Linked DNA regions of Bombyx mori. The protein of the gene in region 1 interacts with the protein of each later gene in a pairwise test. Links are inferred from orthologs where the notes say so. Each region holds a gene or a part of one and is shown on either strand. Other genes may lie near its edges.

Evidence for each region. The genes of interacting proteins can lie anywhere in the genome.
Region 2: the proteins of GRIP and coiled-coil domain-containing protein 2 (region 1) and ADP-ribosylation factor-like protein 1 interact in a two-hybrid assay, tested with the Drosophila melanogaster proteins (2 studies listed by BioGRID). The link is inferred for Bombyx mori from reciprocal best matches to the Drosophila melanogaster genes GCC185 and Arl1.

Annotation. Positions count from the first base shown.
Region 1 is NC_085121.1:11,080,652-11,084,960, forward strand, and holds the start of GRIP and coiled-coil domain-containing protein 2, read left to right. Parts: upstream 1-1,411; 5' UTR 1,412-1,646; coding exon 1,647-1,673; intron 1,674-2,119; coding exon 2,120-2,234; intron 2,235-4,309. Other genes in the region: uncharacterized protein K02A2.6-like, read left to right, coding at 1-258.
Region 2 is NC_085119.1:17,325,026-17,329,116, reverse strand, and holds the start of ADP-ribosylation factor-like protein 1, read right to left. Parts: upstream 2,818-4,091; 5' UTR 2,200-2,817; coding exon 2,196-2,199; intron 2,114-2,195; coding exon 1,897-2,113; intron 1,384-1,896; coding exon 1,272-1,383; intron 1-1,271. UniProt on the Drosophila melanogaster protein: GTP-binding protein involved in protein trafficking; may modulate vesicle budding and uncoating within the Golgi apparatus.

The DNA of each region.
Region 1 (4,309 bases):
CCGAGGAATGAAAGGGCGCATTCTTCTATGCTGCCGGCGACTGCTTCTCCAGACATTGGAATGGAAACAACAATTAACGAAAGGCTAACTAAAAACAAGAATTCAGCAGCAGTACCATTACCTACACCGCAGTCACCTACAAATGTACAAATTTCTCCAAATTCACCTTCACAGCATTCGAAGTTATACTCCTCACCTGCTCCGGTCTCCACTCCTGTGCCATTTGCTCCGCGTCGAAGTAATCGACGTATACAGTAGAGATGGCGTTAATGGTTGAATTTATTTATCTGTTAACTGGTAATTGATAAAAAAAATTACCGATATTTTTATTGGTTGAAAATACCGGTAAATCTTTTCGTTGAAATACTAATTTTGCTAATGTTAAACTTGAATGGTAGAGTTTCTTACATTTATTTTCGATTCAGTGAACTTTAGAAGCTACAGGCTTAGGGCTAACTAGCTTAACTAATTAGTACGAAATGATTAGTGGGAAAAACTCTTTACAAATTTTCCACCACGGCGGTGCGCTGGTTCAATATTTTTGAATTGATTTTTCTTACAATAATTACACATTGCAATTTTTTCCGCTCCCAAGCACTTTTCGAAATGATCCCATATTTCTGCATTGCGTTTCGGCATTTTAAATTAGATATACACTTTAAAAATCCACAACAACAAAGTAAGCAAAGTCTCAAACACACAAAAACAAAGTCAAAACACACAAACACAAAGTACAAATCTCTTAAAATACAAAAACACAACTTTACCAAAATAATAGAAAAGATGCACTGAGCCGCCAAAATGTCAAGTATCAAACAAAATATTACGTTTAAAAAATCAACCAATCGCGTCATCTTCGCGTTCGGTAAAAATATCGTTTCATTTCAATTTTTTAACGAAAAAAATTATCATTAACTGTAAAATACACCAACTTAAATATTGTGCTTTATTTTGAGGGGTATAGAGCATACAATGAAATCATAAAATTCAATATTTTTTACATGATAAGTTGAAAACATCTGCAAGGCGAAAATGAATCTTACGTGTTGAAATAAAGTTGAAACTTGCATAAATATAATTTCCAATAATTGCCTATGCCACTACACGCAGTGTGTTTGTTAAACGGTATTTTTAACCGTTTTGGGTAATTTTATTTATCGAATAGAAGTGTTAATTTTTTTTACCGGTAAATTTATTGGTTAATGGTTATATTAGCCACCTCTAGTATACAGGCACCCCGCCGTCTGATCAACGAGATGTAGATGGGGAGGAATGTTGTAACCTTCTTTTCCATATTCCATTATTTGAAATATACTTCGAACACATTGTCATTTTTACCATCTATCATTATTATATTTTATGCTATGTCTTGAAAACATTGTTTCATTATACGGAGAATACCTTGAATTAAAAGCAACACTAGTGGTCATGTCATAGATAACTTATGCTAAAAGACTGCTGGTTGTCAATTAATTCTTCGGAGTAAACATAGATTATACCCTTATGAGGGCCTTATGGAGTAAATAATAATACGTGTAGTCAAATAATATTGTTGAATGGAGTACCTACCTATTTAATATTTTCAAATATAAACTCCCGATTGAGATGAACAAATAGGTTTTGCTCCTAACTAGAAAATCAATTTCATGATGGAAGCGATTCAGAACCATCCGGTTAGAAAAAACATTTTTAAAACAGCTTAATGCAGAATTTTGCAATTTAGAAGAAAAAAAGAGCGTAACAATTGATTAATTTATGATACAGAATAAAATGTTATCCTTGTTCCTTAATTGTATTTCGTAATATAAGTTTCAATTAAATAATTTAATTGTAATCATGTGATTTAAATGTATAATGTTTTAATCGCATTACAACATCCTTATAGTTGATATGTTTTTAATAATAAAAGAGTGGTGGGCCTTTATAACCCAAATCCTTTAGAAACGATTACTTTCTTTGGGTACCTGTCATTGAATATTCTTAGCCTCCTTGAGACAGATGTGTTTTCAGAGCAGTGAATTTCCTTTACTTAGTGCTTTTCAGGAATATATTTTGTAATCAACATGAATGTTAAATACCTAGACTATTTACCTAAAAGCCTTTATTATTTTAATTCAAGAGTCAAGATGGACCACCAAAAAAGAGTCCTTTTGATGAATTAAGCAGAGAAGATTTGATCCATAAATGCAAGGGTTTACTTGTAATAGCTCAGAAAGCTAAGCAAGCTAAATCAGGTGAGTACTGCTAGATAAATATGTTAAATAATAAAAAGTATGTTAAATGCAATAGTAACTAAATCCAATTAATGCACTTTTAAAGTTTTTTCCATAATTGTGTACATTGAGGCTCTGATTGGAATTAAGTTTGTTTAAATGGTTACTGATACAATTTCTTTATGCAGAAGGGTGTTCTTCGACTACTATCAAATATAGATGTTCAGGTGTTTTTTGTGTGCATTATTTATTTATTACACTTCATATATATTAATGTGCATTGGTGGACTTAAGGTATTCTCTCCAGTTAATTAAAGTTGATAAATTAAAGAAAAATTAGATTCTATACAATCATCGTCATAGACTTACTCTTGGCAGAGTAGTCACGGTCACGTGGAATCTTTGTTTATTAAAGCCTTGACAGCTGTTCTCTGTAATTCTATACAACATGTTTGTTTGTTTGTACAACATACCATGTTTATTAACCCATTAATGCTGCTTTTTTTAATTATTAAACTTTGAAATAGATGTTCCTCTGAATGTAATTAAAGTAAAAATGAGAAAGTTGAGGTATGCTTATAATTTTATGTTATCTATTGTAGCAAGATGCGCTTTCTCATTACTATAGCATTATCCAGCCATTATGCTATAATAACAATACTTTCCTTTGAACAAGTTTGCTGTTTGAAATACCTCTTTCTTCTTTTTTTTGCCTGAGACAAGTGATCTTTTAATAGTACTCTGCTTTCTCTGAACATACCAGTGCCATTATAAGCAGGCTCACATAAATGTATAATAAGCATTGAGATACTAGTAAATAGATTATCAAAATACAGTTTGTATGTTAATGCTTCTTGTTAATCTTCTGGAAAATTATGCTATTCAGATTTTTCTCCTGATATATCTTAAAACCCAATAAAAGTTGACATTCACTAATGTTGTCTGATCACAGTGATCTTTTCTGAAATCTTCATTAAAAATTGAGCACATTCTAGCGCTTCTATACAAATTGCTTTAGCAAGCTCTTTTGGCATTATCAAGAGGTCTATCACATCTTTTAATTGTCCCTAAAAATAAATGAACTCAATGTTTGTTCAATGAGAAATGTATATATTTACTCTGAGCGCTTAGGGTGTTCATATGAACACATTGAACAAACAGTATGTATAAAAATCACAACAACAACTACATAAAATAGAACTAAAATCATTAAATCATAAAGTCTTTTTGATAGTGAACTAAAATGAAAATAATGAGTAATGTTGAATAAATTAATTTTTACTTGTCATTAATAAACATATGTATATTTTAACAGTGATCATACTAACACGCACAGTGTTAATGGGTTAAATAAGCATATATATAACATATTATACATTAACTAATGTATAAATACAAGTAATGATTACTGCCACTACTACTTCTACGAGTTCTACCAATAACACTACTACTACTACTGACTTATAAATACAGAAATACATAAATTTAAATAAATTCATTGAAAATTGTAAGAAATTAATGTTAAATATATAAATTTAATAATTATACCTAATACACAACTAAATACATAATTTTACCATACACGTTTACACATATTACTTTACTTAGATATTGACTTTGAGATGGTTCTGTCATTTTATATAAAATCTTTTATCATTTATGATGAACCAATGCCTACTCGGTAATGTTTTAAGCTTGGCCTTGGAATGACTTTGTATATCGGGAACTAATGGGTAATATCTATAATATTAAGTTTCTACATAGAAGCTAATGTAGGTTTTTAAATCGGATGCTAATCTCATCTTAGTTTTTTTACAAGAGAGTCTACCAGGTAAGATGACTCCATAAGTTACATTACAGACTGTAGGGAATGTTGGTGGAATGTGGCAGTCACAACCTGTCGGTAGCATTCTAAAATAGATAAATGTTTAAAAAAATATAATGCACTGGTGGCCTAGTGGTGTTGTGGTGACCATATTTTTTTAAGCAAGCCTTGGGTGATGTCCATTCATCAGCCACTTCCTTATCAGCAACATAATTGTTATTGTATTATAAATTATTGTGATTATTAAAATGTAATATTGAAAATTTTATAG
Region 2 (4,091 bases), on another chromosome or scaffold:
ACTCACAGAACAAACGTTTGTTTCAAGAATTTACTCATCAGAATTCGTTCACAACTTTCATTTATCTTTACCAATGTTGTGCATTAAATAACTAATAGCTAAGTGAAATAATGTGTTGTATTTGTACTATCAGATACCATCAACTGATTGTACAGACATATAATTAGTAAAATTTGTGTCTATTCCTGATGATAATTTTAACATGCATTTACTTTTTAAATAAATGCTTTGTTTTTAAATTGTGTCTTAAAAAAAATGCTTATTTCAAATAGGTGTATGGATAGTTTTCACTAATTCTTCCATGAAGTCGTCGTGGCCTAAAGGATAAGACGTCCGGTGCATTCGTATCTAGCGATGCAACAGTGTTCGAATCTCGCAGGCGGGGTACCAATTTTTCTAATGAAATACGTACCTAGCAAATGTTCACGATTGACTTCTACGGAGAAGGAATAATATTGTGTACTAAAAATTAAGCCCGCAAAATTATAATTTGCGTAATTACTGGTGGTAGGACCTCTTGTGGGTCCGCACAGCTAGGTACCACCGCCCTGCCTATTTCTGCCGTGAAGCAGTAATGCGTTTCGGCTTGGAAGGGTGAGGCAGCCGTTGTAACTATACTGAGACATTAGAACTCATATCTCAAGGTGGATGGTGGCATTTAACGTTATAGATGTTTATGAGCTCTGGTAACCACTTAACACCAGGTGGGCTGTGAGCTAAACAAAGCAAAAAAAAACTATTAATTAAAACACACTGCTTCTGGCAGTTTCCGGCAAGTGTTATTATTATAATTTATTTTTTTTGCTTAGATGGGTGGGTGAATCCCTTCACCGTGGAAGTCAATCGTAAACATTTGTTAAGTACATATTTCATTAGAAAAATTGGTACCCGCCTGCAAGATTCGAACACTGGTGCATCGCTCACCACAAATGCACCGGATGTCTTATCCTTTAGGCCACGATGACTTTTAAATATTGCTCTGTATACCTTTTGTACAAGATGTATAGATATCAGAAATATCTCTCTAAATTTTAATTATTTACCAATACATTTATATACCTGAATATACTTTCAAATGTATCACTAAATAATTTCCTAGTTTATACATAGATATTTTTGTTATATTATATTCATTTCGTCTTATTGGAATTTTCTACTTGATACACATCAAGTGATTTAGATCACATGATTTAGTTTCTGTCATCTTCTTAAGGACTCTTAGTTTAAAATAGTATCCATTATACAGTATGCTTTAATTTTTTTCAACTCACCCTTAACATATGCACAAGTTCATCTTTAGATATTCCTATTCGATCCCTGTCAGCTGAGTCTACAACATATATTATTGCATCTGTGTTGCCATAGTAACATCGCCAATAAGGCCTGAAATAATAATACATGTTTTTACATTTAAGTAACAAAATTCTATTGATTGGTCAATTTTAATTGTATTTTTTTCAAATATTGAATTATGCTGGCTTACCAAACTTTTTGAATTTTCCTAAAGTATTTAGAGTGTTTGAGTATTACACAGTATTACATATTACACACACAGACTTATAGTTTAGTTTAAATCTTTTAAGACCACAATGATGAGTTTGATTGAGAAATATAGTGTATGATAATAAATATGTATGATGTCTTTGATTGAAATATATGGTGATAGCCGTGAACCAAATATTAATATTTTTAACATTTACATTAATTTGTTGTAATGGTTGTATTCTAAAGCACTGCTGCAAAGCATTAGTTAATTTTAATAAGCAATAGTATTGTATAGTAATAGAATAGAATGTACTACACTTGAGACTTCAGCATCGAGTTTGAACATCTTGACAGCATAATTGCATATGACCACTTGTAACAAAGTCCTAACCTTCAAAGCGAACATTTTACCTAATACTGGTCTGTCCCCCAAGATCCCACACTTGGAACTTGAGATTTTTATATGTGACTTGTTCTACGTTGAACCCAATCGTCGGTATAGTGGTCACGACCTCACCGACTTGCAATTTATAAAGAATTGTCGTCTTTCCGGCACCGTCCAATCCAAGTATCAAAATCCGCATTTCCCTTGCACCCAGCAATCCTCTAAAGTAACTAAATAGACCACCTACAATATAAAAAATATACAACACTCCTCACAACAATACTTTAGGTAAAAATTCAATTTAAAAAATCTCATAAACTCATACCCATTTTATTGATAAGCTTAGTTTAATTTATTGCTATTAATAAGGAATGTTTATGCACTTCGTTTGCACATTAAAGATTTTTGAAATTGTTTCTTTGTACTTATTTACACATGGAGCACACTAAATATCCTATTTAACAATAAATATTGTACATTTTATAGAAATCTCAGTCATTTGACGTGTAAGCAAGCACTCAATTATTTTGTTGCCAGATTTTGAAAACTTTTATCTTATAACTTGTGACGAAAAGGCGTAGTTTAAAACTGTTAAAGTATGGTAGAATGTTAAACAACACTGTTTTCTCAAATAATAATCAAAAATTTTGTTACGCCAGTTCAATAACAAAAAATGACGCTATGTGCAAACTGTTCCAAAAAAAGCATTTTCCTCTTGTGGTCAATGGCTTAACAATTAATTTCTTATGTAAGAACCAAAAAAGACACATTAATCATAGATTATACACTTAACACATTAATAATTAACTCGTATCGCAATCAACATTGTGTCAAGAAGTTTCTTTGTTTATTACTTATGTTTTTTTTTTATTATCTGCAGGATTTGAAACTATTTACTATATGTAGCCACTAGAAAATTCACTACCACGTGTAGGTAGAATTATAACTTCCTGGGTCTACGTGCTGATGTGTCATCATTCTGAATTTTTGTGTTGCGTAATCACTGAATCAGTCATGGTTTTCAACTTAGAGGTGGGATAGCCACTATTGAATAGAATTGAAACTTCGGCTTCTTATCTCAATGTGGGTGGTAGAATTTGCGTTGTGATATCAATATCCTCCTTTTTTCCTACGTATTTGTCAGCAGCTTCAATAGCCTATTCTGGTTTCATCATGAGTAGTGGCCGAGCTCACGAGGCTCATGCTGAAAGACGTTGCTCACATCTGCCCTAACCAGAGAACTGCTTCGCAGAACATGATGACCACCTGACATAAGGAACCGTGGATAGTTCGACTCTCTATTAATGCGTAGAGAGTGCGAAGCGTCGGATTATCGACTATTTACGCAGTTTAAGCCTCTTCTCATGGCTCGACGTCGCCCTAAACACGTCATTTCGGATCTTCTCGATCTAATATCGGTGCTTTTAGGTGCCTCAAGCACTGGTCACCGTTCTCGTCGAACCCGTCGCTCGCTATGAAGGAAATTAACCCACAGACACAGCCCACTGAGTTTCTCGCCGGATCTTCTCAGTGGGTCGCGTTTGCGATCCGCTGGTAGATTCTGCGAAGCACTGTTCTTGCTAAGGCCAGTGTTAGCAACACCCCCGGTTTGAGCCCCAAGAGCTAGGGTAACGCTGACATACCTAGTCTCTCAAGGATATCAGCATATAGGTAGGGGAAAAACAAAAAATAGGGTTGGCTGTGGCTGAGTTCGTCGAGCAAAAAAAGTTAATGATATAGGCTTCTAATATAAAAAAAAAAACTAAAGAAATATAATATTACTGCTGAATTTTAGATAGCAGTCTGCTTTTCAAAAGTTTCCTTTCCTGCAGCAAATAACTTAAAAGCTATTTTATGCAGAATGATATTAAATATGATAAGGCGCTTCTTTAAAATGAGTCAAAACCTGAGTATGATAAATGAGATGAATTTTATGACGCTTTAAATTGAAGTATCTGGATAGTGTTTTATTTTATATTTGTTAATATAATCAAAATATCAAAATAAGTATTTTTAACGATTAGCCCCATGATTTGCAAACGAAATAAATTTTATTGTCCCTTTGTAATACAGTAATGCAAAAATTTCCATCGTTCTGTCATGACCTCTGCAAGTGTAGTGCTTGCACACGCGGCCTGTACACACATTTACTCTCTCCAGTGTGCTTATTGCGAGTTTTGTAAAGTTCTCTATAGCAAATTTGTATTGAGTTGGAACCTTT